Rhinolophus ferrumequinum: one gene and its partners. The protein of the gene in region 3 purifies or fractionates together with the protein of the main gene of each other region. This does not show direct contact. Links are inferred from orthologs where the notes say so. Each region holds a gene or a part of one and is shown on either strand. Other genes may lie near its edges. The genes, in order: CCNB2, CCND3, CDKN1B and CCNB1.

Region 1 (7,808 bases), on a different chromosome or scaffold from region 3:
GAATACAAGTCACGTTTGACTTCTGCAATTACAAGAGGTGCTCAAAGTGGTTGCCATCAGCATCCAGACACTTCTGATTACGGTGAACTACTGCTTGAGCAACGTTGACCAAAGTGTCCACTTGTATACATCTTTTTTGGCAACCCCCGCATACACACACACACACACACACATCTTTGAGCTGGAAAGAGTGAAGTAGTTATTGTATTCTCAGTACCTACAACAGTGCTCGTTTCATAGTAATTCCACGAATGTATGTAATCTATGAATGAGAGCATGCATGAACTTGAACATGATGGAAGGGGAGCAGGCCAATGGGTCTGTTGGCATTCTAACTCCAAGAGAGCTAACCAGTCACAGAAACTACAAGTTATCACCCCACAATGTTGGCATTACCTTGGTCCTACATGAGTATGGGTTTCAGAACCTTGAGCTTCCACAGCTTTCATGGGCAAGTTCATTCTCGTGGTGGATTATTTTAATAAAACCTACCATATTTCACTCTGACATGACTAAATTTACCTGGGTATTAAAGTAATTAATTTTGTTATTCAAGTTCATATTAAATTATGATACCATCACTAAAAAGGTATAGATATTCATTTCTACAGTGTTGTTTCAAAGTAGAGCTCTAGCTCTGAATGTTCTTCAAAAGTTGCATTGTTGATAAAGGCACGTGCAGTCTGGCCAAAAACAGGCTGCTTCATTAAGTTGGTTTTTTAAATTTAGACCTCCGTACCTTTGGAGCCAACATTTTCACCTGGACTGGTTTCACAGAAGCAGTAGGTTTCAGTTGTTTGTTGACATTTGTTGTTTTGGTGGGCTGGACTGGTACTTTGATGTTCTGAGCTTTCTACAAGGAAAAAGAAAAGTGAATAGGGCAAGACATTCAGTATTTTCCCCATTGAGCACACGTACGGTCCTAATGGTTGTCACCTTACCTTAGCTACTTGTGTGGGTCTGATTGTAACTCGATTTCCAATTTCTTCTAAAACTGCCCGCCGGAGTGTCACATGGCTCTTAGCTTTAGAATTAACTCCTGTGTCAATATTCTCCAACTCGCTGGACACCTAAAAAATAAAAAATTAAAGAAAAGTTGAGACAATTTAAAATACTTTCCTACTACCAGATACTCAAATTCAGAATTGCTTTAGGAAAGGTGAATATGCTGAGATCTAATTGAGGAAGGGAAAAAGTACATTTTAGGAAGTCTAGAAATACTATTTGTGTTTGATAACATCACTCTAAATTAGGCAAATCACCATCCCACCTTATCTATAAAAACAAAAAAATCCACTAAGAGTTTTACAGATAAGTGATTTCTCATAGAGCACCCATGTCACTTGTTAAAGATCCCTGTATATTAAAGGTATCTACAGTATTTAAAAACCTTCTTTTACAGAAATTAGTAACAAGTGCAATTAAAACAAATTATTAAAAAAACTATAATACGTCTGTCTGGCTGTTTAAAAACCAGATGTTTAAAACCTAAACTAGATTTGATTCTTATGCCATTCTAGAAAAAAGTGCTCCTATAGACATGATCTTTTAGATATAGCTTTCAAAACTGCAGTTGCCATAGCATAGACTCTCTTATACTAAGGAAACTTAGAAAAAAAAGTTTTCATGGGTAAAATAGTTTTACTCTCAAATCCCAAGAAAGTTGGAATTGTATCAAATAAGTTGTTAGTTGACCCTAACCTGCTTTAGACAGCATGTGCTGAGACAAAACTTACTAGCTAAAGCAATTCATACAAAAAAGTCAATTTTATCATAGATGTGATAAACATGTCACAAGAAAAAACAGCACGTCCCATTCCCCAGAAATTGGGAGTCCTATTCCTAAAGAATCTCCCAACAGAGGGTTTGAATGGACCTACCAGGACAGACCGGACAACGGAAAACTCAAGCCTTCCTGGATAGATGGAATTTGACTATGAAAGAACCATGTAGGACAGATTAGACAAAAATTATTCATCAGTTCTACTTTGATCCACAAAGGGGTAGAAATTAAAAACTGAATGTATTCAACTTATTAGGATTCACAAAAGTCATACTGTTCAATTTTTCCAGCAGTAATTGCCAACTTTTAAAAATGTTTGAAAGTTGAATGCTATGGGTGGAAGCCTGGCAATGTGACTAAGTTTAAATCCATTTGGAAAAGAAAATTGGCAGCTTTTAACTAGCCTTATAGCCAGGAGGATGGAACTCAGGTGTGTCACGACCTTCTCTATTTTTCAGCAAAGGAAAAGTAGATCCACGTACAATTCAGGCCCACAGGAGAAAAAAAAATAACCAAAACACCATTAACACTTTTGTTTTTTGCAAAGATGAAATAAACGAATTTAAGCTTGATCGAACATTGAGACCACTTTACTGACTACAGAATTTCTTCCTGTCCTTCTCCTCCCCATCCCCACCACGGAGCCCTGAGCCTGCAAGGAAAACAGAGGAAGGAAATCCCAAGAACCCTGTAGTTAGATCTCTAACAACAAAGAGCACTCCGGATCGCTTGCTGAGTGCTAGGACCAGTGCTCCGGAGGCTCGTTTAACAGGTACCACCACCTCCGAGGCGCTTTCGTGAACTTTCCCCATTCCCAGGGCAGGCACCAGCCGGGGCAAGGATCCGGAGAGGAACCCAGGCCGGGGAGGGGAGGCTGGCCAGAGAGGACAGGCCGCAGGGCCCGGTCCGCGGGGGAAGCGGGCAGCTGGCAGAATGGGGAAGCGGCGTCGGTTGAGACGAAAGAGCTCTACAGAGAGAAGCAAGAGACGGCCGAGCGGTCTGCGCCGCCCAAGCCCCTGGCTCTTGTCGCCGAGCCCACTCACCGTCGGGCGTCGGAGCAGCGCCATGAGGGACGCGGCAGGCAATAGTGCCAGCCAGGCCCAGGGTTGGACGCGGACCGGGGAGGGTAGGCACAAGCTTCCGCGGCGCCGTTAGTTCCACACTCCGAGCCCGCAGCTCTAGGAATCTTCGTGTAGTCGCCTGGCTCCAGGATTCAAATACCGCGCCGCTCGCGCCCCCATTGGGCGGCCCTACGTACGGCGTGCTCTTCCCATTGGTTAAGCAGGAGGCAGTCCCGCATGCTGATTGACTGAGCTCTACAGACCCATTTGGTTGTCATAACAACTAACCCCCACACACCGCACCCTCCCCCCGCCCCGCCTGCTGCCTTTTTAAAAACATCTCGGCTTCCAAGATAAACAAAAAAGAAATGTTTCATTGGGACAGCAAACGTAGGACACCTCTGAATTTTGACAAGGCTTCACCTACGGATGTTTCTCTACGTTTGTGCCGGGTGGGCAGAAGTTGGTTCTAGGGAACACCCTGGAAATGCCATTTCTGACCTTTATTCCTCTTCCGGAAATTGCGAATTGGAGTTTAGGTTGGGTTGGCCGTGGTCCTTGCACAGGCGCCTCTGGTGGCTCAAGGATGCACTGTAGGTGGTTGACATACAAACGGGTAAGGAGTAAAAAGTGTCACGTTTACGCAAAAGTTAAGATTCCCAAGAGAGGCAAACGAAACAAAATGCGATTTGCATTTTGCGATTTGCTTTTGCAAAATGCGAGTTTGCATTATTTGTGATTCTTGTGAGCTCTCTATAGTATTCCCGGCACATGGTTTGTGTTATGGTCGGTGCTCAATAAATTGTCCACGAATGGATGATCCTATGACATACAGAATACTTTAAAATTAAAAAGAAGGTCTGATCCAGGCTTGGACCGAAGGGTAGGAGGATCAGATCAAGACAGGAAAAAGAGGAAGGAAAAAGTGAGAGGAACAGGAAAAGGGAAAGGAAAAAGCTAAGGAAAGGAAAAGTCCAATGCCCTTAGTAAAGGTAGTGGAATGACTCCTGATAACAGGCTCCGTCTAAGATCTGAGCAAGCTTTCCTGTCACTCCTATTCTACTCTTTAAAATATGGTTTACCTCTTTATTACTGGGGTATCAATGAGCCTTAAATGAAGTTAAGTGAGCTGGATTAAATTCCTTCCCTTGCCTTTGCCCTTGGCCATGCATCTGATATTTCTAAACTTGTTTCCTCTTCTATAAAACAGGAATAATTGCAGCTACTATGCAGCATGGGAAGATGTTAGTGTATCTATCCTCCTATAAGGAAAAGTCTTGGGAGGCCACCAGATGGCTCTTTTGGTTAGAGCACGTGCTCTTAACAAGGTTGCTGGTTAAATTCCCAGTGGGCCAGTGAGCTATGCCCTCCAGAAATAGATTGAAGGACAATGACTTGACTTGGGGCTGATGAGTCCTGGAAAAATACACTGTTCCCCAATATTCCCAATACAAATCTTAAGAAAAGAAAGAAAGAAAGATAGTCTGGGGAAGGAAAAGTAAATGTTTAGTGCACTGGGGTTGTGAGTAAAATTATATTTTTGCTTTATTGTTATAATGTGGTGTTATCAAAAACCACAACTATAAAAGTAACAATCCTCACAGACTCACAGGGCTTTGTAAACAGAAATGCTATGAATGGTAAAGTGCTCTTATTGACTGACTTGACATGGTCAAAATAAATAATTTAATCCACATTAGACATGTATTTTCATTAAAATGGAAGTGATATTTCTTTTGTATCCCTCACTGCAACTAACCTAGAAACTTACAAATAAACTTTTTGATCCAACCTCGTTTAATGCATTGTAGTCCTGTTTTTTACTTCCTGTCCCTTCCTGCCTTAGACAACATTGATCACTCTTCCTGTATACTAGTTTACATAAACTTTCTTGTTGAAACCTCATAACAATCCTTATAAAACAGGTAGTATCCTATTTTTTTGTCATTTTTAAATTGAGGTATAATTGACATATAACATTATATTAGTTTTTGGTGTTTGTATATATTGTGAAATGATCACCACAATAAGTCTAGTTAACATCTGTCATATATTATCTCAATTTGAAGAAACTAAGGCTCAGAGCAATTAAATGTCTTGGCTGCAATAATAGCACTTAAGCATTTTAGAGCGAAGATTTGTACTCGGGTCTGATTCCAAAGCCTGTGGGCTCTTTCCATTATATTTGCCATTGTCCAGTCTATTTACATGTGGCAGAAAGAGTAGGAAAAGTTTGAAACAGTCATTGAAGGAACTCAAATAGAAAATTAACCAAGGATAAATTTCTTGAAGGCCAATGGCTCTTTACAGTATGGTAAAATTCTACACGATCAATTTATTTTCAGGTACTGCTTCAAAAAGGTGTGTATGTGAACTTCAGTGAATATGGGTTGCAGGCAGAAGCACCCCAAGCAAAAACACGGACCACCAGTACTGGACCGGCATGATGGGAGACAAGGTAAGTGGTTGGTTTGGCAGGAGCTATTGGGCTTCAAGGTAGCTCTTGCTTAGTATCTTCCAGCGCCACAGGATGCCTACATATAGTATGTTTAGGTCCTGGAATGCCAAATGGGAACTCTTCTTTTCAGACATCTGAATCTCCCAGTTTGGGGTAGTCTTGCGGTCTTTGCTATGAGGACTCCTTCTGAATCACAAGCTGGTTGCAGTTTATTTGGTGTTGAACCATGGATCAAAGGTAATCGAGAGCCCTGGGGGGCACTGAAGGCAGTTTAATAGAATTTTTGGCGACCGAAGTCCAGATATCTGGAGACTGGGTCTTTTTTTTTTTTTTTTTTAAGATTTTTTTTATTGGGGAAGGGGGATTGGGGAACAGTGTGTACTTCCAGGATTTTTTTTCCAAGTCAAGTTTTTGTCCTTTCAGTCTTAGTTGTGGAGGGCGCAGGTCAGCTCCAGGTCCAGTTGCCGTTGCTAGTTGCAGGGGGCGCAGCCCACCATCCCTTGCCAGAGTCGAACCGGCAATCTTGTGGTTGAGAGGACGCGCTCCAACCAACTGAGCCATCTGGAAGTTCAGCAGCTCAGCTCAAGGTGCCATGTTCAATCTTAGTTGCAGGGGGCGGAGCCCACCATCCCTTGCGGGACTTGAGGAGTTGAACTGGCAACCTTGTGGTTGAGAGCCCACTGGCCCATGTAGGAATCGAACCGGCAGCCTTTGGAGTTAGGAGCATGGAGCTCTAACCGCCTGAGCCACCGGCCCGGCCCTAGAGATTGGGTCTTGACATAGGGGATAAGAGAGTTACTAATTGTGTTTTTAAAATAGTCATGTGTTGCTTAACGATGTTTTGGTCAACGAGAGACTGCATATCCAGCAGTGGTCCCATAATATTACAATGGAGCTGAAAAATTTTTATTGCCTAGTGATGTTAGCCATCATGTCATAGCACAAAAGTTGCAAAAAATCAAGGCTACGGATGAGATGCAAACAACTTGAACCTGGGTGTGGCAGAGGATGACACTGAGGAGCTCCTAGAGGTGGTTCCTGAGGAATTGACAAATGAGGAGTTGTTGGAACTGGAACAGGAACGCACAGGTGAAGAAGAGGCAAGAGAAAAGGAAACTGCAGAACAGAAAAAAACCCCAAGAAAATTCAGTGAAGGATCTAGCAGCTTTTGCAGACCTCAACAAGCTCCTTAAAAAAGTTTGAAAACATGGACTGAAAAGTTTTCATTAATGAAGTGGACGTGTTTCTGAAAAGAATGACAGCTCCTCAGAAGAATCGGAGGCAGGTCCTTTAGGAGGTGTTCCAGAAGGCGGCACTGGTATCATAGGAGCTGACAGCTCCGTGTATGTCACTGCTCCTGAGAACCTTCCAGGGGGAACAAGATGTGGAGATGCAAGACAGTGCTATTGATGCTCCTGTTTAGGCCTAGGCTAACGTGTGTTTGTCTCGGTTTTTAATAAAAAAGTTTTAAAAGTAAAAAAAAATTGTTTTTAAACAGAAAAAAGGTTATAAGCGTATAAAATATTTTTGTACAACTGTATAATGTGTGTTTTAAGCTAAGTGTTACAACTCAAAAAGTTTAAAAAAATTACAAAGTTGAGAAAGTAAAAAAGTTACAGTAAGCTAATGTTAAATTTGTCATTGAAAAATGTTTTCTTAGACATTTAGTGTAGCTTAAGTGTACCGTGTTTATAAAGTCTCCAGTAGTGGACAGTCATGTCCTCGGCCTTCACGCTCACTCCCCACTCACTGACTCACCCAGAGCAGCTTCCAGTCCTGCAGGCTCCATTCATGTAAGTGCCCTTTACAGGTGGACCATTTTTTCTCTCTTGTGCTCTATTTTTACTGTACATTTTCTATGTGTAGATACACAAATACTTACCATTGTTACAATTGTCTACAGCATTCAGTACAGTAACATGCTGTACAGGTTTGTGGCTAAGGAGCAATAGACTGTACCATACAGCCTAGGCGTGTAGCAGGCTGTACCACCTAGGTGTGTGTAAGTGCACTCTATTTGACGTTCGCACAATGACAAAATCAACTAACGATGCATTTCTCAGAACATATTCCTATTAAGCAACCCATGACTGTATGTACACAAATTCTTGCTATACTTTCCTTCAAATGGTGAAATCTAATCAACGCGTCTTGAGTATAGGCTGTATTTTAGTGACTCTTATTTCTAATGAATAGAATGTAGCAGAAGAGAGTGTCAATTTTGAAACTAGGTGAAAAATGGCACTGTGGTTTCCTCCTCGCTCTCTGGGGTCATTTGCTCTGGGGAAGCAGCACAACCCTGTCAGGAAGACATTTGAGCAGCCCTATGGAGAGGCCCCCATAACAAGAAAGTAGCCCATAAGGAACCAAGGCCTATCAGCCACATGAGTGAGCCATCTTGGAAACAGCTCATCCAGACCAGACCCAGTAAAGGCTGCAGATAACTGATGACTGCAGCCCCTGCTGTCATTGTGATTGTAACCTCATGAGACCTGGAGCCAGAAGC
Region 2 (8,022 bases), on a different chromosome or scaffold from region 3:
GAAGGCTTCCTGGAGGAGATCAGACCTGAGCTGGGCCTTGAAGGATAAATAAACTGAACAGAGAAGATAGATGGGTTTACCAGTGATGGAAGCAGGGAACTGAGGAGATGGGGAGGGCAGAAGAGGCCCTGGCATGTTTTTGGAGGTCTGCAGAGAAGAAGATTCTGCTACTCTTTCTTCTTCCATAGCATTGTCTAATTGGAGTTTTCCTTGCTATCTAATTTACAGCCCGCTAGTTGAGGACTAGGTTTCTCTAGACTTGGAGGGCCATGGTTATTTGAGACTAAATGAACATTTGGTGCCTTTATTAAGCACCTTTATCCCTGATATGGGGTAAAGACCAGCTGAGGTTCCTTAGACAAAAGTGGCAGGATTTTTGAGGTCCAGTTCTCAGTGAAAAATGACCAAAATAAGACATCATCTAAGATGCAAGAACCAGGCCAAGGGATGCTTATAGCAGGGAAATGAGTGAAATAAAGAACAGATTGTTAAATCAGTTCCATGGGATATAGTGGATGATAATTGGGGAAAAATAAGGCTAGAGCCCCACTTAATATGACACACTGAATAAATGTGAAGTGTGTCACACACTGAAGGCAACGCATTAAAAAGGAAAACCTTTATTGTATGTATTCTTGACAATGCATAATTTTGGGGGTCTCCTCATAGACTTGAAGAAAGAAAAGCCCTGAAGCAGAGCCCAGAAATCTGCTTTTAAAATATAAGTATTTCTTACATTTTCTTCTAGTAATTGTATAATTTTACAGTGGGGAAGGCATGGTTCAAAGGAAGAAATCATTAGAGAAAATAATGCTACATAAAAATAAAAACTTTCTATTTGTTAAAAAAATAATTCTACCATGAACCAAAAATGAAAGGCAAATAGTGGGGCAGTTGGTTAGCTCAGATGGTTAGAGCACGGTGCTCTTAACAACAAGGTTGCCGGTTCAATCCCCACATGGGCCACTGTGAGCTGCGCCCTCCACAACTAGATTGAAACAACTACGTGACTTGGTGCTGATGGGTCCTGGAAAAACACACTTAAATAAATAAAAGTTTAAAAACAAAAAAGAAAGGCAAATAGTGAACTAAAAAAAAAAAATGTATAAAATATATGACAAAGAAAAAATATGAAAAAGGATATTCTTAAAATGTAATCGAGCACTTAGAAATCAATAAGAAAAACAAACATTTGTGTAAAAGAATGGGCAAAGAGTATGAAATAGGTAATTAATTTACATAAGAAATGTAAATGTCTAATAATGTGTCAAAATATCATTACTAGTAAACTACTTTTCATCTCTCCAGTTTGCTTTCTCCATAAAGAAAAGTAGGTATATCTATACAATGGAATATTATTCGGCCATAAAAAAGGACATTTTTACATTTGCAACAACATGGATGAAACTTGAGGGCATTATACTAAATGAAATAATTCAGACAGAGGAAGACAGATACTGTATGATCTCACTTATATGTGGAATCTAAAAATCCTTACTGAGAGAAACAGAACATTTTGGTGGTTGTCAGAGGTGGGGGGTAAGGGGAGGGTGAAATAGGTGAAGGTGGTTAAAAGATACAATCTTTATAAGATAAATAAGTTATAACATAAATAAGTTATAAGATAAATAAGGTCTGGGAATGTAATGTACAACATGGTGACGATAGTTAATGGTTCTGTATTGCATATTTGAAAGTTGCTAAAAGAGTAGATCTTAAAAATTCTCATCACAACAAAAAAATGTAATTATGTAATAGATATTAACTGAACTTATTGTAATTATTTTGCAATATGTATATATATTAAGTCATTATGTTGTGCATCCTGAGCTAATTCAGTTTATGTGTATGTCAATTACACCTCAATAAAACTGGGGAAAAAATAAAAATATATAATGATGGTTTACCCTCTCATCAAAGATAAACAACCTTCTAACCTGAACAGTCCTACTCAATAATTCTGAAAATAAAGGAACACCTTCCATTAGGAAAGATCTGGTTTCTGGTTATGTACTCATTTCAAAAGCTACATTTTTAGTCCTCTGCACCCTAAAAACCTCTTAAACTTCAACATCTTTGTCTCCCCATAACTTCACATCTGTTCTTTAACATTTTGAAATATGTTTTTCTATTTATTGAAAGAGTGCAATGGTATGATTATTTAACTAAAGAAACTTCATATTCATATTTCGGACCATAGGAAGGAGAAAAGGACTTTAAGATTAAATGAGGTACATGGTACACATTAATTCTGGCACAATAAGAGCTCTTGAATTAAAAAAGATACACACACACATACACACACAGAGGGTGCCAAAAAAAATGTATACACATTTTAAGAAAGGAAAAAAACTGTATTAAAATTGTAATAATATATACTGATAACAAAAGATTAATGCAAGTCATATGTATACATATTTTTGGCATCCCTGGTATATTATAACTAATAAACTACTTTTCATCTTCCCAGTTGGCAGAGGGTTTTTAAAAATAGATATCTAATGTTTATTCATTAGATTGGTTTAGTCTTTCAATAGCAAAATTTAGTAATAACTACATCAAAAGCCTTAGAATGAAACTCACAGATACAGAGAACAAATTGATGGTGGCCAGATGGGAGCAGGGTTGGAGGGATGGGTTAAAAAGGTAAAAGAGATTAAGAAGTACAAATTGTCAGTTATAAAAATAGTCACATGGATGTAAAATACAGCATAAGGAATATAGTCAATAGTATTGTAATCACTATGTATGGTGCCGGATGGGTACTAGACTTATCAGGGTGATCACTTTGTAACTATAAATGTCTATAATCACTATGTTGTACACCTGAAACTAATATAACACTGCATGCCAACTACAACTGAAAAATAAATTTTAAAAATCTAAAAGAAGCCTTAGTATGTTTCATAACTCCAGACTGAGAAATTCCACTTGTAGAAATAATTCACTTCTAGAAATAATCATGAGTGCATACAAAAATATTACCACAAAAATATTTCACAGTATTGTTTCTAATAGGGAAGAACTAGAAATAACTTAAATTTCCAACAACACATATTTGGTAATATGTATATGATATATTCACCCAATGGCATCCTATGTTGCCATTAAAAATAATGTAGAAAAATGACATGGAAAAGTGTTACAGTAAATACTGTTTTAGTGAGAAAAATGCTTACAAAAACAGTTTATGATGATCTCATTTTAAAATATGTGTTTATTCATAGAACAATTTTAGAAAAATAAATATTGACATTTTAAAGGATTATCTCTGGATGGTGAAATTGCAAGTAATTATTATTTTTCTTTTTGTGGCTTTTATTTTTTAAAATAATTTAAAATTTTTTTCAATTACAGTTAACATACATTATATTAGTTTCAGGTGTACAATATACCAACTAGATATTTATATAATTTATAAAGTGATCACCCAGATAAATCTGGTACTCATCTGACACCATACATAATTATTACATGTTGACTATATTTCTTATGCTGTACTTTACATCTCCATGACTATTTTTATAACTATCAATTTGTACTTCTTAATCCCTTAACCCCCTCCCATCTGGCAGCCATCAAAATGTTCTCTGTATTTGAGTCAGTTTCTGTTTTTTTATCTGTGTTTTCTTAGTTGTCTACAATACAAATAAATATTTCCATGATATTACAACTACAATAAAATTTGTTATATAAAAAGAACAATTAATTGACAAACTGTTTAGCATAGACCTTGCCTCTGCTATACAATATTATTTCTTCAGTAACTCCCTTGCTTAGTGTCCTTTCCCTCAGAAGGACCTCTTGATGAGAGGCAGGAATTCCCAAGGCCTCCTCCCATTTGGGAGCATTACTGGAGGCCTGTGGTCGGCCTCGGGGTCACGTGGAATCCAGCTTTGGGGAAACTACAAAGTAACCCAAAGTTTGGGAGGTAGGAGAAATGGCAATTGGAAGATTTTATGGAATCTGAGCAAGAAACTCCTTCACAGAGGATCCAGTTTCTCCGCCCCCTTTTTCCTCAAACTGAAGCTTAAGGCCGACTTCAGGGCTTGTCCAAGGCCACAAGGCAGACTTAATGACAAGATGAGGCCTGGAATCTATGGCCTCTCCACCCTGTTGTGTTTCTGTAATGTGCTGATTTTGATCAGGCCTTCTCATACTTTAATGTGCACAGGAGTCACAGGGGGTCTTGTTGAAATGTAGATTTTGATCCCGCAGGTCAGGCGTGGGCCGGAGAGTCTGCATTTCTAACCGGGTCTTAGGCGATGCAGAGGGTGTTGGCTTTGAGATCACAGTGATAATGTGTAGCAATGGGGTAGAGCACAGATTCTTGAGCCAGACTAGCTCTGCCACAGACTGTTAGTGTGCTTCAGTTTCCTTATCTGCAAAATAAGTATAATACCTAACTCATTGAGTTTTTGTTTGGATTTAATAAGTTATTGCGCATTAAGTGCTCAGAACAGTGTTCACTAAGAACTAGTTATTTTATCAGTATTTATATTCCCCAGAGCAAGCAGCTGGTGAAGTAGGGTTTGACGAATGAATGAATAACCTTTGGAGAAAAGTTCTTTCCTGGGCAACTAATGTCAGAGAAACAAAATGGGAAGGCTCGATGGTGCGGGAGGGGACCACCTCCAAGAAAGTTCCCTCCACCGGGTGGTCAGGAGGGCTCCGGGAGCCCGGAAGCCTTCAGGCGGGCGCCCCGCCGACCAATGCGGCAGCCAGGGAGGAGGGGGGCGCCAGCCAGCCCTTTCCGTCTGGGGCGCCGGCGGCCCCGCCCCTTGGAACGTTGTGACGTTCGAGCATTCCGCGGTTGCTACATCGTCTCGAAGGGGCGGGGCGCCTGTCAGGGAAGCTGCAAGCGCGCCGACGCGGGCGGGTCGGGGCTCCACTGCGCAGTGCCAGCGCCAGCACCAGACCCGCGCTCTCCGGCCCGCCGCCTCGGCTCTGGCTCGCGAGCCCGCACTCCAGTCCTGCCCGTGCGCTGCCCAAGTATGGAGCTGCTATGCTGCGAGGGCACCCGGCACGCTCCCCGGGCCGGGCCCGACCCACGGCTGTTGGGGGACCAGCGTGTCCTGCAGAGCCTGCTCCGCTTGGAGGAGCGCTACGTGCCCCGCGCCTCCTACTTCCAGTGCGTGCAGAAGGAGATCAAGCCGCACATGCGGAAGATGCTGGCGTACTGGATGCTGGAGGTACCGCCCGGACGGGTCTCCCCTCCCCCGCCGTCCCTGCGTCCTCGGCTCCGGACATCCCGGGGCCGCCCTGTTGGGACATCCTGGTCTCAACAACAATCAGCAAGATGCTTCGGTGGCCCAGAGCCCCGGGCCTGGCCTTTCACTCGGGCACCCTAGCCGGCTACCAACGTGGTGTCCCTTTCCCTTCCCTAACCCCGACTCCGCCTGCCAGTGGTTTGGCACCCTAACTAACCCTCTTTTCGGGTCGGGAAAGCGGGACAGGGGCCACCTTCTCCCTTCTGGCTTCTCTAGAGTCTCTTGCTTCCCCCCCGCCCCCCGCCCTGTCTTCTTAGGAGAGCGCGCGCCTGGGAAACCCTGGACTCGGCCGCCGCAGAGCGGGTTCCTGTGTCTGTCGCGGGGTTCTGGCGGGGAAGGCGGTGGGGGTGGCGCGCGCGCTGTTCCGGCGGTCTGGGAAATGAAAAGTGCGGGAGGCAGCGGCAGGAGTCTCCTCCCTTCCTTTTGGGTGTGTGCAGTGGGTGGTGGTAATAGTTAGGTCCCAGCTCTCTGGCTACCGTGGGTGACTCTTCCGCACCCTTCCATGGGGGAGGGGAGTCTCAGTGTGGAATCCTTAAGTAAGGGAGCCTCTGGCGGACCCCTTCCCCCGGGAAGGGGAAGGAGGCAACGCAGAGGAAGTGGGGCCGTCACCTTGGGGAAGGCGCATCCCCCTCCGCATTAGTCCTTGTCACTGTAAGCACATTTACTCCTTCATGCATTTTTGTTCCCGTCCCACTTCCTTCAGCGCCCCCTTTCACTTTTAGTGCTGCTGCGTTTCCCACGCCCCTGCCCCAGAAGTGACTGTGCGTCCTCTCCCCAGGTGTGTGAGGAGCAGCGCTGTGAGGAGGAAGTCTTCCCCCTGGCCATGAACTACCTGGATCGCTACCTGTCCTGTGTCCCCACCCACAAGGCACAGTTGCAACTCCTGGGTGCGGTCTGCATGCTGCTGGCCTCCAAGCTACGCGAGACTACGCCCCTAACCATCGAAAAATTGTGCATCTACACCGACCATGCTGTCTCTCCCCGCCAGCTGCGGGTGCGTGCATAACCCACCCCCAACACATACCACCTCTCCTCACTTACCGGCAAAGGAAAGCTAAGACCTCAGAGGCTTTCTGCCCCATGGGGAGGGCGCGTGGACCGAAGAGGCTATGTATTAGGCAAACATGGGGCAGTGCGTGTGATGGTTAGGGTAGCCCCAACCCAGGCTTAAGCTGCCAGTATGAATTAACTCCCCTTCTCCTGACCTCCAGGGGGTGCCACTGCTTCCTGGTCTTTCCCCCAGATAGCAACAAGTCAAACTGCATGTCTGCACTCACTAGTACTTTGCCTCTGGGTTTACACAACCACCATGAGTTATTTATTGGCAGCAGAAAGACATGCCTGCACTCCCCCACTGGAGTGGGGGAGTGGAATGTGCTTCAGTGGGGGAGGGGGGCTGCCTTGGGTGAGTCTTTATCCCCATGTGGACTTTGTGATTGAAAAGCCTCCCAGAGCCGATTAAAGCCCGGCCCTGATTGCTCTAAGGAAGGGCCAAGGAGTTTCATCCCACCTTCTTTCCTTCCTTTTATATCCCAGAAGACACAGCTCCTTCCTAATCCTCATTCTGAGCAACTTGAGCAGCTGCTTCAGGCCTGGTGGAATCATCTCTCCCTTTCCCCCTTAGCCAAAGGCCAGAGCTGAGGGACGGACTGGGAGCTGAGCCGCAGCTGCTTCCGATGTGATAATGATGCCCCCTCCCCTGGCCCGCCCACTCTGACCAAGGTCTTTCATAACCCTGTGGAGAGCTGCTGTCACTCCTGTGGTTTGGGAAGTGGCTTCCTGGGCCTCTTGCTGGGAACTTGGGCTGGGCTCTTCCGAGGCGGCAGGAGAGTCACCGGTTCTTTTCCCAAAGCCTGGAGAGGAGGTGGGGGCGCTGCTGGGATCTAGGTTATTTAGGGCATGTGGGTCGTCTCCCGGGGGGTCTGGGGGAGAGGCTGGGGGAGCTGGCACCTTCCTCAACCTTGCTCTGTGCGGCCAAGTCTTCTCCTGACCCTGAGAGGAGTCTGGGCCCCATTTCCCGGGGAGGAGGGCAGCATGCAGGCTGCTGTGATTGGCTGGCCAGGAAGCCAGGGTACTGGGGCCCCTGACTGCTGCTTGTTGAGGAACAGGATTCCTCTTCCTGCCAAGTAGCTCTCAGAGATGGGAGTAGGAGGCCGGAGATGGGAATCCGGGAGGCCCCACGGCTCTTTGTGATGAATCTGGTAGTTTTTGGCAAGTCTGAAGGTGGAACTGGTTTCCAGGGCCAGCAAGCACGATGTTTTTGGAGGGGTTTGGGCTGGAAGGTAGAAGGGGACTTCCTTTTTGTGAAAAGATTGGGATGGTGTGTGTGTCTTTGTGTGTGTGGTGTTTTTTCAGAACAGGCAAAAAGCACTCTTCCCCCCACTCTTGCCTGAGCTGGGGGTGGAGTGTGCAGATGGCTTCCTAGAAGGTCAGAGTTGGAAGGGACCTCAGAGAACTCCAGTCAGTCCAAGTCCTTGTGCAGCAGAGAAGATTGAGGCCCAGAGGAGGGAAGTGTCCAGCCTCAGCATTGCACTGAAGTAGATGAGGAGAATCTGGGTCTTCTGGCTAGCCCAGGTGGACTTAAAGGCCGGGGATATGGTGGAAGTAGCTAATAGCTCCCGGGGGTATGCTCTCTTCCAGCCTAGGGCCGAGATTCTCAGGGTTTGCCCGGATACAGCTGCCGAAGGGGGCAGGTCCTACCTATCCCTGCAGTGTGCACTAAGGGACTTGGCCAACCTCCCTTCCTCAGGAC
Region 3 (7,986 bases):
TCACCAGGTCATGTCTAACTGCTGAAGAAGCTGAGAAATTTAGTGTAGCTAGGCAGCTGTATGCTAGTTATATTTCTGAAGAAGACGAGATGGATTTTGATGGACAGCTAGCAGTCTCTGTTGCATCCTACCTCTCTAGTTAAAATACCAAAGCTTGGGTCCTTAAAGTCATCCTCCATTCCTCCCTCTCTCCCTGACACCCTTATCTGTTCTAACTACCTAAGAAACCCCACATTTATTCCTTTCCATCCTCCACAGCATTGCTTAAGGCTGTTGAATCTCTTGCTTGAGCAAATGCAATCAGCCTCCAAAATTACCTCCCTGTGTTAGCCCTGGAGAGGCTCATCACACCCACCCTTTACTCTGCTGTTAGGTGCCACTTCCAAACACAAAGGTCTGATTGTCCAAGACACCTTGGGCACCTTAACAGTTACCTCTCTACTCACTGTCAAGGCTGCGAGCACCACATACAAGGCATCTGCTTCTAAGCCTTTGTAGCTTAGGGGATCACACCAGACTGCCTCCTACTCTCTGTTCCAAACCATCTCATCCTGGGCTTGGCGCCCATACTTCTCTACCTGCTTGCCTCACCACCAGTACTCTGGCCAGCTTTCAGCTACTTTTGGATTAACACCATGATGGGATGTCTACCCAGCTTTTCATTTAGCTCTGTTCCTAGAGACTGTCTCTCAGGGCCCAGGCTTGCTCTTTGTTCAGGAGCTAAGTTTGCACAGTGATCATGTTATTCTTTTCACCAAAAGCAACATCAGTTCCCATTGCTTATGAATAAAACATTTTTTAATTGCATGCCATTTATGGCCTGCCCCTGTCTGATACCATCCCCAATGACCACGCCTATCAATAGATCCCTATAATCTTGACATTTTTCTCATTCTTCAAGATGTGACTCACATGTCCCCTCCCCCATACAGCCTTCCTCTTTCTCCCTCCTATGTACTCCATCTTTGTCCTGCATTCTTCCATGTATTGCTTTCTACCTCTAGTTTTTTGTGCACATGATGGTCTCCTTATGTCTTTGGGTGTACACGCCCTAAAGACAGGGATTGTAACTTAGTCATCCTTTCACTCCCCATGCTCCTGAGAATAAGGCGCTGGGGAAATACTTTACACATAGTAAGATCACATCATTCCACAGCTTAAAACCTCCTAATGCCCCAGTGGCTTCCCGTATCGCTCAGTCAGTGACAGAAACCCTCCCTAGGTCTGCATGATTGGATATTCCTACAACCTCTCTCCCCTTGCTCCTTGCTGCCTCTTGAGCACATCAGACAAGATCCCACCTCAGAGCCTTTGCACTTGCCGCTCCCTTTATTGGGACACTCTTTCCCCAGACACGGGCCTGGCTTGCTTTCTCAGTTCCTCAGGGCTTCTCTCCAATGCCACTTTCTCAATGGGGCCTTCCCAGACTATTCTCACATTGGGATCCTTGCAACATTCTCTTTCCCTCTCCCCTGCTTATTGTTTCTCCATATCACATATCACCTCCTTACATAATATATGCTTTCCTCATTTATCGTGTGTCTGTCTCCTCTTCCCCTCTACTGGAATGTAAGCTTCACCCTCGTTCAAATCTGTTTGTTTACTTCTGTATCCCCAGGATAAAGCCTGGCGTATCAAAGGCACTCAATAAATATTTGTTGAAAGAAAGTAAGATTAAGCAAATTAATAGAAGGTGTTCAATAAATATTTGTTACATTGAATGAAAAGCATCAGAAACAGATGACGTAAATTCCCAATTTCTAAAAATATGTCGGTTTAGGAGAAGAATGAAATTGAGTGAAAGCTGCCTCATTATAAACATCGTAGCGGAAGAATTAAAATTGTGTAGTTGTGGTGGGCGGGGCAACTGTCCATGTGTACAGTCGCAGAGTTGCTGGGGGCTGCTCAGCTATCCCCTGAAAGGACTGCAGCTGGGAGGCCAGCTCACCCCACTGTTTGCCCAACCACCCTATTTAGACACTGTGTACCACACAGGTGTTTTCTTTTTAAGTTATTTTGGTCTTTGCTTCTCTCCTCAGCTTGTGAAGGACACAGCAATCTTGGGTGGCTTATGTGACACTTCTCAGCTCTCAGTAGGAAACTACCTACTTAAAGTGAAAATGACAACAAAAATATCACCCAGGACTAAATTCTGGGTCTTGGGGAGCAAAGCCCATTTTAGAGCTGTACCGAATGGAACTTTCTGTCGTCTAACCTAGGCTCCGCCTTGTCACTGTTTATCCGAAATGTTTCTCCCCGCCCTACTCTTTTGCAGCCTCCTACTTCGCGCAGGAGGATGGCGCTCTGATCTCCACGTTCCTTCTTCCCGCAGGGACCCATAGTATTTTTTTCACGCTTCGCCACTACTACGGCAGACGCCTGCCTTCTCTTTATTTGCTGTGCAGATCTCCCGTGCCTTGACTGTAAACAAAACACTTTAGATCATAGCAAGGTCGATGTCAGCACAGGCTTTCTGCTGGCAGCCAGACGTCTTAAGGTGGCGTGACTGACTCGTTTACTTTTCAAGATTAACAAAGCAACAAAATGGTGCTGCTGCATATTAACTGAAGAAAGATTCAGTGTGTATGGGGGTAGAAGTATTACTTTTCCACTTTTATGTAGGCTATTAATTCCACGCATAAAATGAAACTGTGACAAGGTGTCATATTCTAGAATATCTCCACTCACATATATGTGGTAATTTGTGTATTAATGCAAGTGAATATGTGCTTACATATAATGTAGAATTCCTGTGTAGCCCAGCAACTAGTTAAAAATGTTGACAACAATGATCTAATTTCAGGGGTGGGGTATAAATTATGGTACTGAGGCCTACCCTAAGTGTCGAATCCCTCTCTCCCTCTTCTCCAATCCAATGTTAAGAGGGGCATTAAATGTAGAAAAATACAGAAGAGGAGACGGCCTACTTTGATCCCAGGTGAAATATTTTCTGTCCATCAGGTAGGAAGTCCTGACTTTGAAACGAGTTTTGGGCACTGTCTCCCTCGCTGCTCTCTTTAGTATCACCCCTGTCCTTTTGGAATCTGCAATTAGTGGATGGTGACACCAAAGGCCAGTGACAGCTGCATTTAAATATCAGTGACCACAGGCCACATCAAGGAAACATCTGCAGGCAGCCCAGGACACAAGAAAGAGCCATTGTGCATCAGTTGTAAGAGAGGAGGACCTACAGATTACAGCACAGGTGAATCCAGACAAAAACTTGAGCCAGTTGGGGCCATCAGAAAGAAACAAAACGAACCAGCCTAAGAGAGAAGACCTGTGGTCTAATCCTGGCTCTGCTACCGACTGGATATGTGGTCTCTGGATAGGAACGCTCCTCTCCGTCTCAGTTTCCTCAGCAGTAAAGAGATGGGTGAACTACAGGGTTCCGCAGGTCCCTCCCTGCTCTACCATTCTGTAGTGTAGGAGGTGAGGCAGGCACACAGAGTGGACAAACTGTGTAGTTAAGAAAACAAGTTAAAACTCAAACTCATCTGTAGCGTAGAAGCATAAGACAACATTGCTTCTGTGGACTATTAGAACTGAATGAGATTAGTTTCCAGTAAAATGTATTAACTTTGGCCCAAAGCAAGATCATATGTATTGGAGGGTGGGGTGGCGGTGAGGCGGTTAAAGACCCATTGAGATTTGTCTGGGGTCTGACAGCCCTGCCCACGCTGTTTTAACGTCTGCTACCCTGCTCAGGACCAGATTGATAGGTAAATTTCAGGTTGCTAAGGGGGAGCAGAACAATGCCTGAATAGTATCTGCCGTGAAGACATGGTTGTGGTGGTTTTATAAATCACCTCATAATCTGGACTTCCAGAGTATTTTCACCCTTCAACTACTTGTAGCCCTCTAAAAGCATTCACTTGGCGTCTGAATGTTGTTCTGTGTGGGAGGGAGCAGTGAATCTGGTAGGAAAAAAAGGTGGAGGAAGGAGCTGTAGCATTTGGCGGCCGGACGAAGGTAGAGGAAACTGCTATAATCAGGGAAAGAACTGAAAAATAGAACGAGGAGACGAGTTCCCACACGCAGTCCATGTCAATTGCCTTCACTGCTTGAGAAGCAAGAACTGGGCCAGGGGTGTAACTTCGCTTTTGGAAACTAAATGTGTCTGAGACATCATCAAAGTTTATTAGGGACTTGGGAGACCAGTCGAGTTTTTGATCTTGAAATCTTATTTTTATTGAGGGAGAGCGTGGGTTCAGAATATACAGTATTATAAAGGCTGAGCCTACTCCAGGCTAATTTATAGAAAGGCGTTAGCCCTGGCTTCTTCCCTAAGCCCCTGTGCATCCCCTAGAATAGCAGAGATCTCAAGGTTCAGGGTGAGCTAACCACCGCTCACCCGGGGCTCTCAGCCCCTCAGCCAATACTTCTCCGCCTCCTCCGCAGCGCGAGAAGTTTGTGCCGCGGGTGAGAAACCATCTGCGGGCAGAGCTCCCACCGTCAGCCTCCGTCCCCCAGCTGCCCGCAGTGCGGAGAAAACTAGATCGCCACCGAGGCACACATCGAGGGGCCAGCAACCTTCGAGATCGGCTCTAGCCCGTTCGTTTCCCTGGCGAGGAACGCGAGGGAGGTCGAGGCTTCGGGACCGCCGCGCGCCCGCCAGCGCCGCGCGGGGACCAGAACCCAAGGCCCCGCCACCCAGGCCCCTCCCCAGCTTCCCAGCCGTTTGGCTAGCTTGTTTGTCTTATTTTTAATTTCTCCGAGGCCAGCTAGAGCAGGTTTGTTGGCAGCAGTATACCTCCAGCAATCACGCGACCAGCCAATCTCCGGGCGGCGCTGTCGGAGTCGGCGCGCTCGGGGAGGCGGGGAGGCGGCGGGACCGCGCCGGGGCCACCTTAAGGCCGCGCTCGCCAGCCTCGGCGGGGCGGCTCCCGGCGCCGCGACCAATGGATCTCCTCCTCTGTTTAAATAGACTTGCGGTGTCAATCATTTTCTTCTTCGTCAGCCTCCCTTCCACCGCCATATTGGGCAACTAAGAAAAGGGGGCTCGTCTTTTCAGGGTGTTTTTCTTCCCCTCCCCTCTCCCCACTCTCTCGCCGCCCCGAGACTCTGACGCCGGCAAGGTTTGGAGAGCCGCTCGGTTCGCGGGACCGCGGGCTTGCACCAGCCTGGACTTGGACTGGCTTTGCCACCCCCGCCTCTTGCCTCTCCCCTCCCCTCCCCGCCCTCTCGCTCGCCCGTACACTTGATCCGCGGAGACTTTCGGCTGCCTAGTCCGGGCTTCCTCTCACCCCCTCCCCAGACCCAGCGCGCTCCTGACGCTCGCCAGTTACTCGTTGGGGTTTGTTTTTGTTGGCTCCTAGGGCAGTCGCAGGACTTATAAGAGGGGTTCGGGCTGGGTCGGGGCGTTTTGTTTTGTTCGGTTTTGTTTTCCGAGAGGGCGCGAGAGGCGGTCGTAAAGACCCAGGAGGAAGATGTCAAACGTGCGAGTGTCTAACGGGAGCCCTAGCCTGGAGCGGATGGACGCCAGACAGGCGGAGTACCCCAAACCGTCCGCCTGCAGAAACCTCTTCGGCCCGGTGAATCACGAAGAGTTAACCCGGGACTTGGAGAAGCACTGCCGAGACATGGAAGAGGCAAGCCAGCGAAAGTGGAATTTTGATTTTCAGAATCACAAGCCCCTGCCGGGCAGATACGAATGGCAGGAGGTGGAAAAGGGCAGCGTGCCCGAGTTCTACTCTAGACCCCCGCGGCCACCCAAAGACGCCTGCAAGGTGCCAGCGCAGGAGAGTCAGGATGTCAGCGGGAACCGCCAGGCGGTGTCTTTAATTGGGTCTCAGGCAAACTCAGAGGACACACATTTGGTAGACCAAAAGACTGATGCATCGGACGGCCAGACGGGCTTAGCCGAGCCGTGCACTGGGATAAGGAAGCGACCTGCAAATGACGGTAATGACCCTCTCAAAACCATAAAATGTCTGTCTGGGGCCCCGCCTTGCCTACTTGGGGGTCTTAACCTCTCAGTTTTCAGCGTGTTCTGATGTAGCTTTTTGGGAGTCCGCTTTCGGAATCTTAGGTTGTGAGTGCTATCTGACTGCTTGCCTGTCTATGATTTGTAAGTCAGAGGCCTGAGATTGTATTATCTGATAATTTCACTAAGCGAAAACATCGCTGTCCCCTCCCCCTTCCCCCTCCCCTCCGTGTACACGGCAGTAGGTTTGGACAACGTCGGGATGTTTATCAGCGGCCTCCCTCTTCGCTATGGAGAGAGAGAGCGCTTTGGGGCGTAGCAAACACTGTTATGTGAAAACAACCTCATTTTGTGCCCTTAAAGGCCACTCAGAGTGATGGGTGCAGGATTGTGGGTGGAGATGGTGGGTTTTTCATCCCCTGACTACTGGGCCAACTTTTGTTAGCCATTGTTTTTTTGATAAAGATTACTTGTGTGTGTTCTTTTGAAAATTCCCTCTTGTCCTTAGATGCCTCTCCTCAAAACAAAAGAGCCAACAGAACAGAAGAAAATGTTTCAGATGCTTCCCCGAACGCGGGCTCCGTGGAGCAGACGCCCAAGAAGCCGGGCCTCAGAAGACGTCAAACGTAAACCGCTCGGTGGGTTGATTACTAAGAGCAAATAACTGACACCCGAATTGGGCTGCAGGAACTCGTGGCCTTTCAAACCCCAAGATACCCATCTTAGTTGCTGGCAGATGAGAGCTGTGGGTTGTTGTTTTGTTTATATTTTGTGAAGTCGAGAAAGTAGGAGTGGGGAAGGCTAGGAGTCACCGTGGGGATACTGTATTTCTAAACAGTTTCCACGTCCTGAGATCATTTTCCCCTGAAACATGAAAGGACTAGAGCAAGTGTTCCAGGCAAGTACTTGTAATCAGGGTCCTGTGGATAGGACGGTCAGTTCCTGTGAGCCCCACCAAAACATGTTGGGAACAATAGGGTCTTTCCCCATCTGAACAAGAGCTGGGCTGTGGTCTCAGTCCCACTTCATGAGAATTCATTTCCCAGAGGTTTAAGGGGAGTAACACATTTTTGGGCCATACATGGAAAAAATGGCAACTGAATGATTACATTTAAATTTTGAGGGCATTGTTAGGTACACATGGCTCATATTTGGTTAATCAAATAGTTAGAAATGTGAAAAGAGAGTTATGTTGTGTTCTTTTATCTTTATCATTTTCATAAAAGGTCATTTTCCCTGTGTTCTGATAAGTTCTGGGGACAGAGAAGTAACCTTTGTATTTAAAAAAAAGCCAAAATAGAAAGTTTAAAAATACTAAGGTTCCTACAGAATTTCTGATAACACTAAAGTTGCAAAACAGAAGTTAAATTAACTCTGCCAAAGTAAGCAATCCAGGAACACGTCAGCATGTGTATGCTAATCTTACTATAACAGGATGATTTGGATATTTGTAGGGGAAATGAATAGTAGATATCAGGGCTGGCAGGGTAGGTCTGCCCCGCACAAGGGAAGTGGAGATTTTTCCATCTACTAAAATCTGATCAACACGAATAGCTAATTTGAATAATTCAGCCGCCAACTTTATGTGGATTGGCTATCCATAAAGATCAAAGTACATATTTTTTTTTCAAAGTACGTGTATTAATAGTCTGTAAACATCTTATAGACAGAGAATGGGACCTCTTTTTCTTTTTCCCCCCAAAACACACTCATAGCCTAGCATATAAAGAGATCTTAATACATATTGATAGTATCTTTTCAAATCCTCGTTTATAAACATCTAAAAAGAAATGAAAGAACACAGGGATTAAGGTGGGATTCAAATTTGTTGTGTTTTTAAATCACATATGCAACTTCTTTACATACATCTGATATTTTCAGAGCTTATACAAAATGGCATTATAGAACTTCTGTATTATAGCTATATATGTAGTGGGAAAATTGAATAAAAAATTGTTCTGACGCAACCTTACCATCTGCAGCCATTGTTGGTTTGAAACTTGTGGCCTGGCTCATCAGATGAGCCAGAGTGAATCAGACCTACTGGATTTTGACCTGGC
Region 4 (7,030 bases), on a different chromosome or scaffold from region 3:
TTTCCCTGTTCATAATGGCAAAGATTTCATTGGTTTGTTTACTTACTTTTTATTTTTGGCATTCCACGAAGGAGAATTTGAAAATGGAACCTACTGTTAAGAAATGCTGCTCACATCCTGCTTGAATTATTGTAAATTATTAATGGAAAATTAATAAATTAATAAAATTAATAAATTAATAAAGCTAGATGCAGTTTAGAAAAAAACAGATTCTATTAGTTTGGTGCAAAAGTAATTGCGGTTTTTGCAAATATTTTTAACCTTTTAAACTGCAATTGCTTTTATACCAACCTAATAATACTGACCTCAAGTTGTCTCAGATAAGTATAGATGTCTTTCACATATTCACTGCAAAGGTTGGGATCGGCTCCATCTTCTGCGTCTACATCATTCACTGCAAGAAGTACATCAGAGAAAGCCTGACACAGATACTCTTCGGCAGGGGCACAGCCAGATGTTTCCATTGGGCTTGGAGAGGGAGTATCAACCTTAAAATAAAGAGACCTTCTGAAATAATAGCAAAGAAGAGCATACAATCTGGGAATAAAAGTCAGATCATTGGTACCAACTCAAGATACCATTTGTTGAATAGTCATAATTCATTCCCTGAAAGGAAAAGTATTTTCAGATTTATTCAGTTTCTCTTTAGAAAGTGATTAGTATGAAAATTGAAATGCCAACTTGACTGAGCCAATTTGAAGTCAGCAGAACCTAAACACTAACAGGTAAAACAGAGAAGCAAATAAATTCACATTTTGGACTTTCCTCCAAAGGAAACTGGTAAGTAATAAATCTGTTGATCAGTGTCATGTGAAGTTAATTCAAACAAATGGCAAGTCAGTCTTTGGTTTTCATTTCAAAACATGGACCGATTCTCACTGTTCAGGAGAACACAAGTTCTGTCCTAACTACTCATTATTAACTGACCTCATTAACCATTTCCTTCAAGCTCTAGTTACCCCATTTTTCATTTATTGAGCACTTTCAAGTCAAGCTCTGTCCTAGGCACTGATTTTTTTGATATCCTCAAGGGGCTTTGATTTTAGACGAGAAGTAAATGAGGTAAGGAGATTGATTCTAGGAACAAGGGTTAGGAGAAGTTAGGCAAAGTTTCAGGAGTTGATACTTGAGCTGTTTTGAAGGATGAAAAGGTTATTAGCTAAATGAAGAAAGTGGGAAAGACATTTTTAACTAGTGTGAAAGCAAAGACAAGAATCATTATGGGACTTGCAAGGAAACCTCAGGTAGTTTGGTATGGTCATTTAAAGACTTTGCATTGCACAGGTTTCATGTGCTATGTCCAGAAGGTCAGTACTAAAACAATGGCCTCAAATCTTTTACCCTTAGATATAAGGAGCCAGGCTGAATGACTTTTACAGATTTTCCCAAATGGTTTTATTAAGTTTTAAAAATCAGCTTCATAAGGCAGTTCATTCCAATTTCATCAAACCAGCCTCTTCTAAAGGGCCTGTTTTTCCTTCACAGTAGAAAAATTTACCTGGTATTTAATAGAAAGTTCTTGGTTTCTGAAGCTGTTCATTATCTTACCTGCTCTGAGGTGCTACATTTTCTTTCTGCTTTACACCTTTACATATTACAATGTTACAGGCTTACTAATTATTCAGTGGTCATATTAGTGAGTAAAAAGATTCAAGAGAACAATCTGTGTTTCAGTCAATAAATTCTGGTCAGAGATGACTTGTACCAAAAACAGCAAAATCTTCGATCAAGGCAACTACTACTCAATACCATACACGAGATTAAAAGCATAGGCTCCGAAGCCAGACAAGTCTGGGTTCGAATCCAGTATGTACCACCGATTAGATATGACTCCAGGAAATACGTAATACTTTTCTAAGCCATTATCTAAAAAGCAAGATACCAGCTAAGAAAATACAACATTATATGAGTTAATGCATTTAAAGTACATAGCAGAACACTCTATGTTACTATTATTTATTCAAATGCTATTTCATGCATTCAAGTAAAATGAGGGAAAAGAAACAATCAAGACTCTAAAATAAGTTTACCAAAATAGGCTCAGGCGAAAGTTTTTCTTCTTTAACGGGCTCAGGTTCTGGCTCTTGCGCCGGCTCCAGCACAGGCATGGGCTCGAGTCCCTTTTCCAGAGGTTTTGGTAGTTTTTTAGCAACAACTTTTCCAGCAGCTAAAGTTTTTGCTTCCTGTGGATGAATGGGAGAGAATGGAATGTTGCTCCATCCAAGGTCACAGTTGGATGGTGGACTTTTACAGATAAGTTGGATCAGGATAGTTACCTTTTTCAAAGGCAATTTGGACTGTGGCTGTTCACTGACTTTGTTACCGATGTCTCCAAGCGCCATTCTTGGCCTCAGCCCGGGCTTGGAGGCTGCAGCAGTGGCCACAGGCACGCGCTTTGCGCCTGCCATACTGATCTTCGCCTTATTTTCAGCATTAATTTTCGTGTTCTGAAAGAAGCAAGACCTCTTTGAGAGCTAGCCCAGCCAGGTTGCAGTAAGTCACAGGGGATTAATTAAGATGAGGCAAAAGAGAGGCTCTCGGGAGGGAAGTCGGCTGTAAATGAGTTACGAGGGGAAACCCGGTTCCAGGGTCTACGCTAAGACTGTGAAAAGTCAGTTTCCTCCTAGAACCTCTTCGCTCGCCTACGGTGGGATAGCACGTTTAGTCCCGACCGACACTAAAATACCCTTAATTTACATTTGAAAAGAAAAAAGGCCTCCAACTGCAGACACCTTCTTTCTCTCCAGAAAGGACCTTACGCAGGTGGTGGGAGCCCACAAAAGAGCCCTCCACGTTTTAGGAAAGATTTCCTGTTGACCCTCCATTTCCCCCCAAACAGGCCAACCCAGATCTCTTGGCCACCTACCCCACCATGCCAGGTGCCTACCGACAACCCTATGCTCCCCAAATCTCTGCCCTGGTCCCGCGGGGCTGGATGGCTCCGGCCAGCGAGATAGGGAGAGGATACACAGCGAGAAAGGCTGCGTTTGTTCACTGTCCGCAGCAGCTCACCCTGGTGACCCGGAACGCCATGGCTTCCTCTTCACCAGGCAGCAGCTCAGTGGGGAGAAGAGGAGAATGGGAGCCCCGGACGAGCCGGGGATCTGAAATCAACACAGATCAAAAACCGTTCCACCGCAGCACGCCGGGAGATGCAGGGCTCGGCCTCAGATTTAAACCCCGCACCGCTCCCTCCTTATTGGCCTGTTCGTGGCACTCGCTTCCTTCCTATTGGCGGCTGTCGGTTTCCCCAAGAACGCGTTTCTAGGGCGATCCCGCGGAGACGTACGAGAGGGGTGGGGCCAGAGAGAGGTTGCGGCCACGCCCTCACTTGGTTTGGCTTCGCGCCTGCGCTCTCGGGCATTTGCGGCTGCCACCTGGACCGGCGAGGTGTGGCGAACTGTGCGCTGCCGGATGTAGTCGAGGGGGATGGCCTTGTGCCCTGAGAGAAGTAACGGTGGAGCAGCCGCAGTTGGAGAAGCGTAAGCAGTTGTGGCTCTAGTCCTACTTATTGTTACACACTGTCTTCGTCTGCAGCGGTGTGTAGCTGAAAGGCTTTGATATATAATGTTTTATTTGATCTTTTCCAACAGCACTCTGGAGGAACCGAGGCCCAGAGAAGCTTTAGGTGATTTTCCCAGGATCACAAGTTAGTAACGTGGGGACTAAATGTAGGTAATTTCTTTTTTTTTGATTCATGATGTTTCTACAACCTAATTGATAAGAATATCGTCAGTTTCTTAATCTACCAGATTACTTCAAGTTATTTCCCCAAGCCAATGTTTTTATTTTAATTTTTTATTTGAGAATAATTTCAAACTTAGAAAACTTGCAGACAAAAATGTGATAAGGATTCAACTATCCTTAACATTTTACTCCATTTGCTTCATGATTTACTTTATATATGTATAAACTATGTATAAAATTATTTTTCCTGAAACACTTGAGGGTGTTTATATATATCATAACTTTTATCCTTCAGTTCTGCCGTATTTCCTAAGAAAAAGAATATTCTCTTACCTAACCACATACAGTTAATAACTTCAAAATGTACTTTATTGTTTTATTCAACCTGGTTTATATTCCATTTTGTCAGTTGACCTAATAATATCTTTTATAGCATTTTTTTCTCTGCTAGTACATGATCCAGTCTAGGGTCAGATGTTATATTTAGTTATCGTGTCTTTTTAGCCTCCTTTAATTTAGAGCAGTTCCTACAGCTTTTCTTTATCTTTTATAATATTGATGTTTTTGAAGAATACAGTACCCCCGCCACTTTTTTAAAAATAGAACTTTCTTATTTTTGTACTTGGTATTTTCTTGTGATTTAAATTGAGGTTGTTGCACAGGTGTATATGACTGTCAAAATCTTTATAATCTAACTTACACATTTTTAAGTATCTTCTAAAGTGTTTTTATAGTTTTCTAGTAATTATTTATGTAGGAGCTGCTATGTGCCAGGCACTATATTAAGCACTTTACATAATCATCTCATGCTTTTTTTCTTCTAGTACTCTGCTGTTATCACATATTAAGTTTGCTTTAACATCTATTTCAGTAATGCAGACTAAAATTTTTCAGGTACATATTGGTTCACTTTCTATGGCTACTTACCATTTGAATTTAAAGGCCAAACAGGTCTCCCCTTGCAACCAAGTACAGTACATAAATCTGTCAATATTAATATTCACAGTTATGGAAAGCTTGTTTAAGAAAATAATTGATTTAATAATTTTTTAAAACATTCAATAAATTCATTCATACTCTACGAAAATTGACACAGGTAACATCATGGTCTTAGGGGATCAACTGCAGACACGTGATGTTTGTCCGTCATAAATGAGATTAATTTTGGTCACTTGGTTAAGATGTTGCCTGATTTCTTCATTGTACGTTTACTTTTTTAAAAATTGCAACTAATATGTTGTCTGTGTGGAGATACTTTGAGACCATCAAATTTCTCCCTACGTTTCATATTCCCTCACAGCAGCACTTGGTTAGGAACTGTTGAAACTCTTGTTTCATTGCCATGAGTTGGTAAAAAACAAACTTTGAATGACCCTAGGATGCCAGACCTTTACCAGACTTAATTGACGACCCCTTCCTGACCATTGCCTAATGGAAATTCTTTTAACCCAGTAGTTCTCAATTGGAGGACATTTTATCCTACGGGGCATATTTGGCACTGTCTGGAGGCATTTTTGATTGTTACAACTGGGAGGGTGCTAGTGGCATCTAGTGGGTGAAGATCATAGAAGCTGCCAGACATCATACAATGCACAAGACAGCCCGCACTCCCCAAACACAGTCACAAAGAATTACCCAGCACAAAATGTCAGTAGTTCAATAGTGTGAAGCTTGAGAAATCTTGCCAACTATGTACAACTAATTTTTATTAAGAATGCTACCATGTTTCCCCAAAAATAAGACCAGATCTTATATTAATTTTTGCTCCAAAAGATGCATTAGGGCTTATGTTCAGGGGATATCATACTGAAAAATCATGCTAGGGCTTATTTTCCGGTTAGGTCTTACTTTTGGGGAAACATGGTAGTTATGCTTAATTAGCATAAGTACCATGGATCACCTCCTTTCTTTATAACACTTACAACCTTCTGACTTTTCTCCTCAGTGAACTACTCAGTGTTCTCTCTCCTGGCCAAGTTAATAGTGTCAACAATACACACCAGTCACTGATCTGGGTGCTAGGAATACAACTCTGAATAAAATGGATAAGATCCCTGCTTTCATAAAAGCTTATATTCCAGTAGAAGAGAGATGAAACAAGTAAATAACTAAATAAAGTGAAAAAAATCAGCTAGTACTAAGTGGTAGGCAGAGAATGAAAGGAAAGTGTTGCAAACAGTGTGACTTGGTAGCTACTCTGGAGGTGGTCAGGGACAGTCGAGAAAGTGATGTTTAAGCTGAGGCTTAAATGAAAAAAGCATTCCACATAGAGAAAATAGCCTGTGAAAGCTCAATGATAGGAATGATCTGTACAAATTGCCAGTTATAAAAAGTCATGGGGATGCAAAGTACAGCATAGGGAATGTAGTCAATATTTTGATAACTATGTATGGTATCATATGGGTACTAGACTTATTAAAAAAGACGTCTCCACTCCTTTTCAAGAAACTCTGTCTTCCCAAGCAACTATGTAGTAGGCAGAATAACAACCCCCCAAAGATGTCATTGCCCTAATGCCCAGACTTGTGAAGATGACTGTTACATGGTAAAAGGGACTTGGAAGACCTTGAGATAGGGAATTATCTTGGATTACCTGAGTGGGTCCAGTGTCACCACTTAAAAGAAGAGGAAGGCAGAAGAGGTGGTCAGAGAAAGATGCAACAGTGGAAGAAGGGGCAGGAGAGAGATGAGCAGGGGAAGCACATGACCCACTGTTGGCTTTGAAGATAGAGGGAGTCACAAGCCAAGGAATGCAAGTGGCCACTAGAAGCTGAGAAGACTAGCAAAGAAACTGAGACCTCAGTCCTACAAAGTCCTACAAACACTGAATTCAACCAACTTGAATGAGCAAGGAAATGGATTCTCCCCTAGAGCCTCCAGAAAAAAATGCAGCCCTGCAGCAACTTTGATTATAGCCCAGTGAGACCCATACTGGACTTCTGTAGAACTGTAAGAGAAGTTTGTATTCAACCACTAAGTTTGGGTTATTTGTTATGACAGCAATAGAAAATTAATACAAACCACTTTCTGTGCTCTATCACTATAGATTAGTCTTCTCTGTTCTTGGACTTCGTATACATGGAAACATACAGCATGTATCTGCCATGTTTCACTGAACTTGTTTTTGAGATTCACCTGTATTGTTTGTAACTAATTTTTTTAAACTGCTGAGTAGTTTAGTGAAATTCCATTATGAATACACCACAATTTATCGATTCTCCTGATGGATATTTGGGTTATTTCTGGTTTTTGGCTATCATGAATACATACATTCTTCTACAGGTCTTTTTGTGGACACACTTTTCCATTACCTTTGGGAGTGGAACTGCTGGGTCACAGGGTG

The links.
Region 1: the proteins of CDKN1B (region 3) and CCNB2 purify together in Homo sapiens (affinity purification with mass spectrometry; 3 studies listed by BioGRID and IntAct, with this or other methods). This does not show direct contact. The link is inferred for Rhinolophus ferrumequinum from reciprocal best matches to the Homo sapiens genes CDKN1B and CCNB2.
Region 2: the proteins of CDKN1B (region 3) and CCND3 purify together in Homo sapiens (affinity purification with western blotting; 9 studies listed by BioGRID and IntAct, counting the BioPlex papers as one, with this or other methods). This does not show direct contact. The link is inferred for Rhinolophus ferrumequinum from reciprocal best matches to the Homo sapiens genes CDKN1B and CCND3.
Region 4: the proteins of CDKN1B (region 3) and CCNB1 purify together in Homo sapiens (affinity purification with mass spectrometry; 5 studies listed by BioGRID and IntAct, with this or other methods). This does not show direct contact. The link is inferred for Rhinolophus ferrumequinum from reciprocal best matches to the Homo sapiens genes CDKN1B and CCNB1.

What each region holds. Positions count from the first base shown.
Region 1 is NC_046289.1:50,579,389-50,587,196, forward strand, and holds the start of CCNB2 (G2/mitotic-specific cyclin-B2), read right to left. Parts: upstream 3,013-7,808; 5' UTR 2,851-3,012; coding exon 2,827-2,850; intron 1,071-2,826; coding exon 942-1,070; intron 854-941; coding exon 740-853; intron 1-739. UniProt on the Homo sapiens protein: Essential for the control of the cell cycle at the G2/M (mitosis) transition.
Region 2 is NC_046286.1:11,637,815-11,645,836, reverse strand, and holds the start of CCND3 (G1/S-specific cyclin-D3), read left to right. Parts: upstream 1-4,839; 5' UTR 4,840-4,994; coding exon 4,995-5,192; intron 5,193-6,048; coding exon 6,049-6,264; intron 6,265-8,022. UniProt on the Homo sapiens protein: Regulatory component of the cyclin D3-CDK4 (DC) complex that phosphorylates and inhibits members of the retinoblastoma (RB) protein family including RB1 and regulates the cell-cycle during G(1)/S transition.
Region 3 is NC_046293.1:27,455,906-27,463,891, forward strand, and holds the start of CDKN1B (cyclin-dependent kinase inhibitor 1B), read left to right. Parts: upstream 1-4,877; 5' UTR 4,878-5,429; coding exon 5,430-5,904; intron 5,905-6,434; coding exon 6,435-6,556; 3' UTR 6,557-6,564; intron 6,565-7,986. UniProt on the Homo sapiens protein: Important regulator of cell cycle progression. Inhibits the kinase activity of CDK2 bound to cyclin A, but has little inhibitory activity on CDK2 bound to SPDYA. Involved in G1 arrest. Potent inhibitor of cyclin E- and cyclin A-CDK2 complexes.
Region 4 is NC_046290.1:44,717,144-44,724,173, reverse strand, and holds the start of CCNB1 (G2/mitotic-specific cyclin-B1), read right to left. Parts: upstream 3,178-7,030; 5' UTR 3,034-3,177; coding exon 3,013-3,033; intron 2,448-3,012; coding exon 2,277-2,447; intron 2,184-2,276; coding exon 2,031-2,183; intron 489-2,030; coding exon 306-488; intron 1-305. UniProt on the Homo sapiens protein: Essential for the control of the cell cycle at the G2/M (mitosis) transition.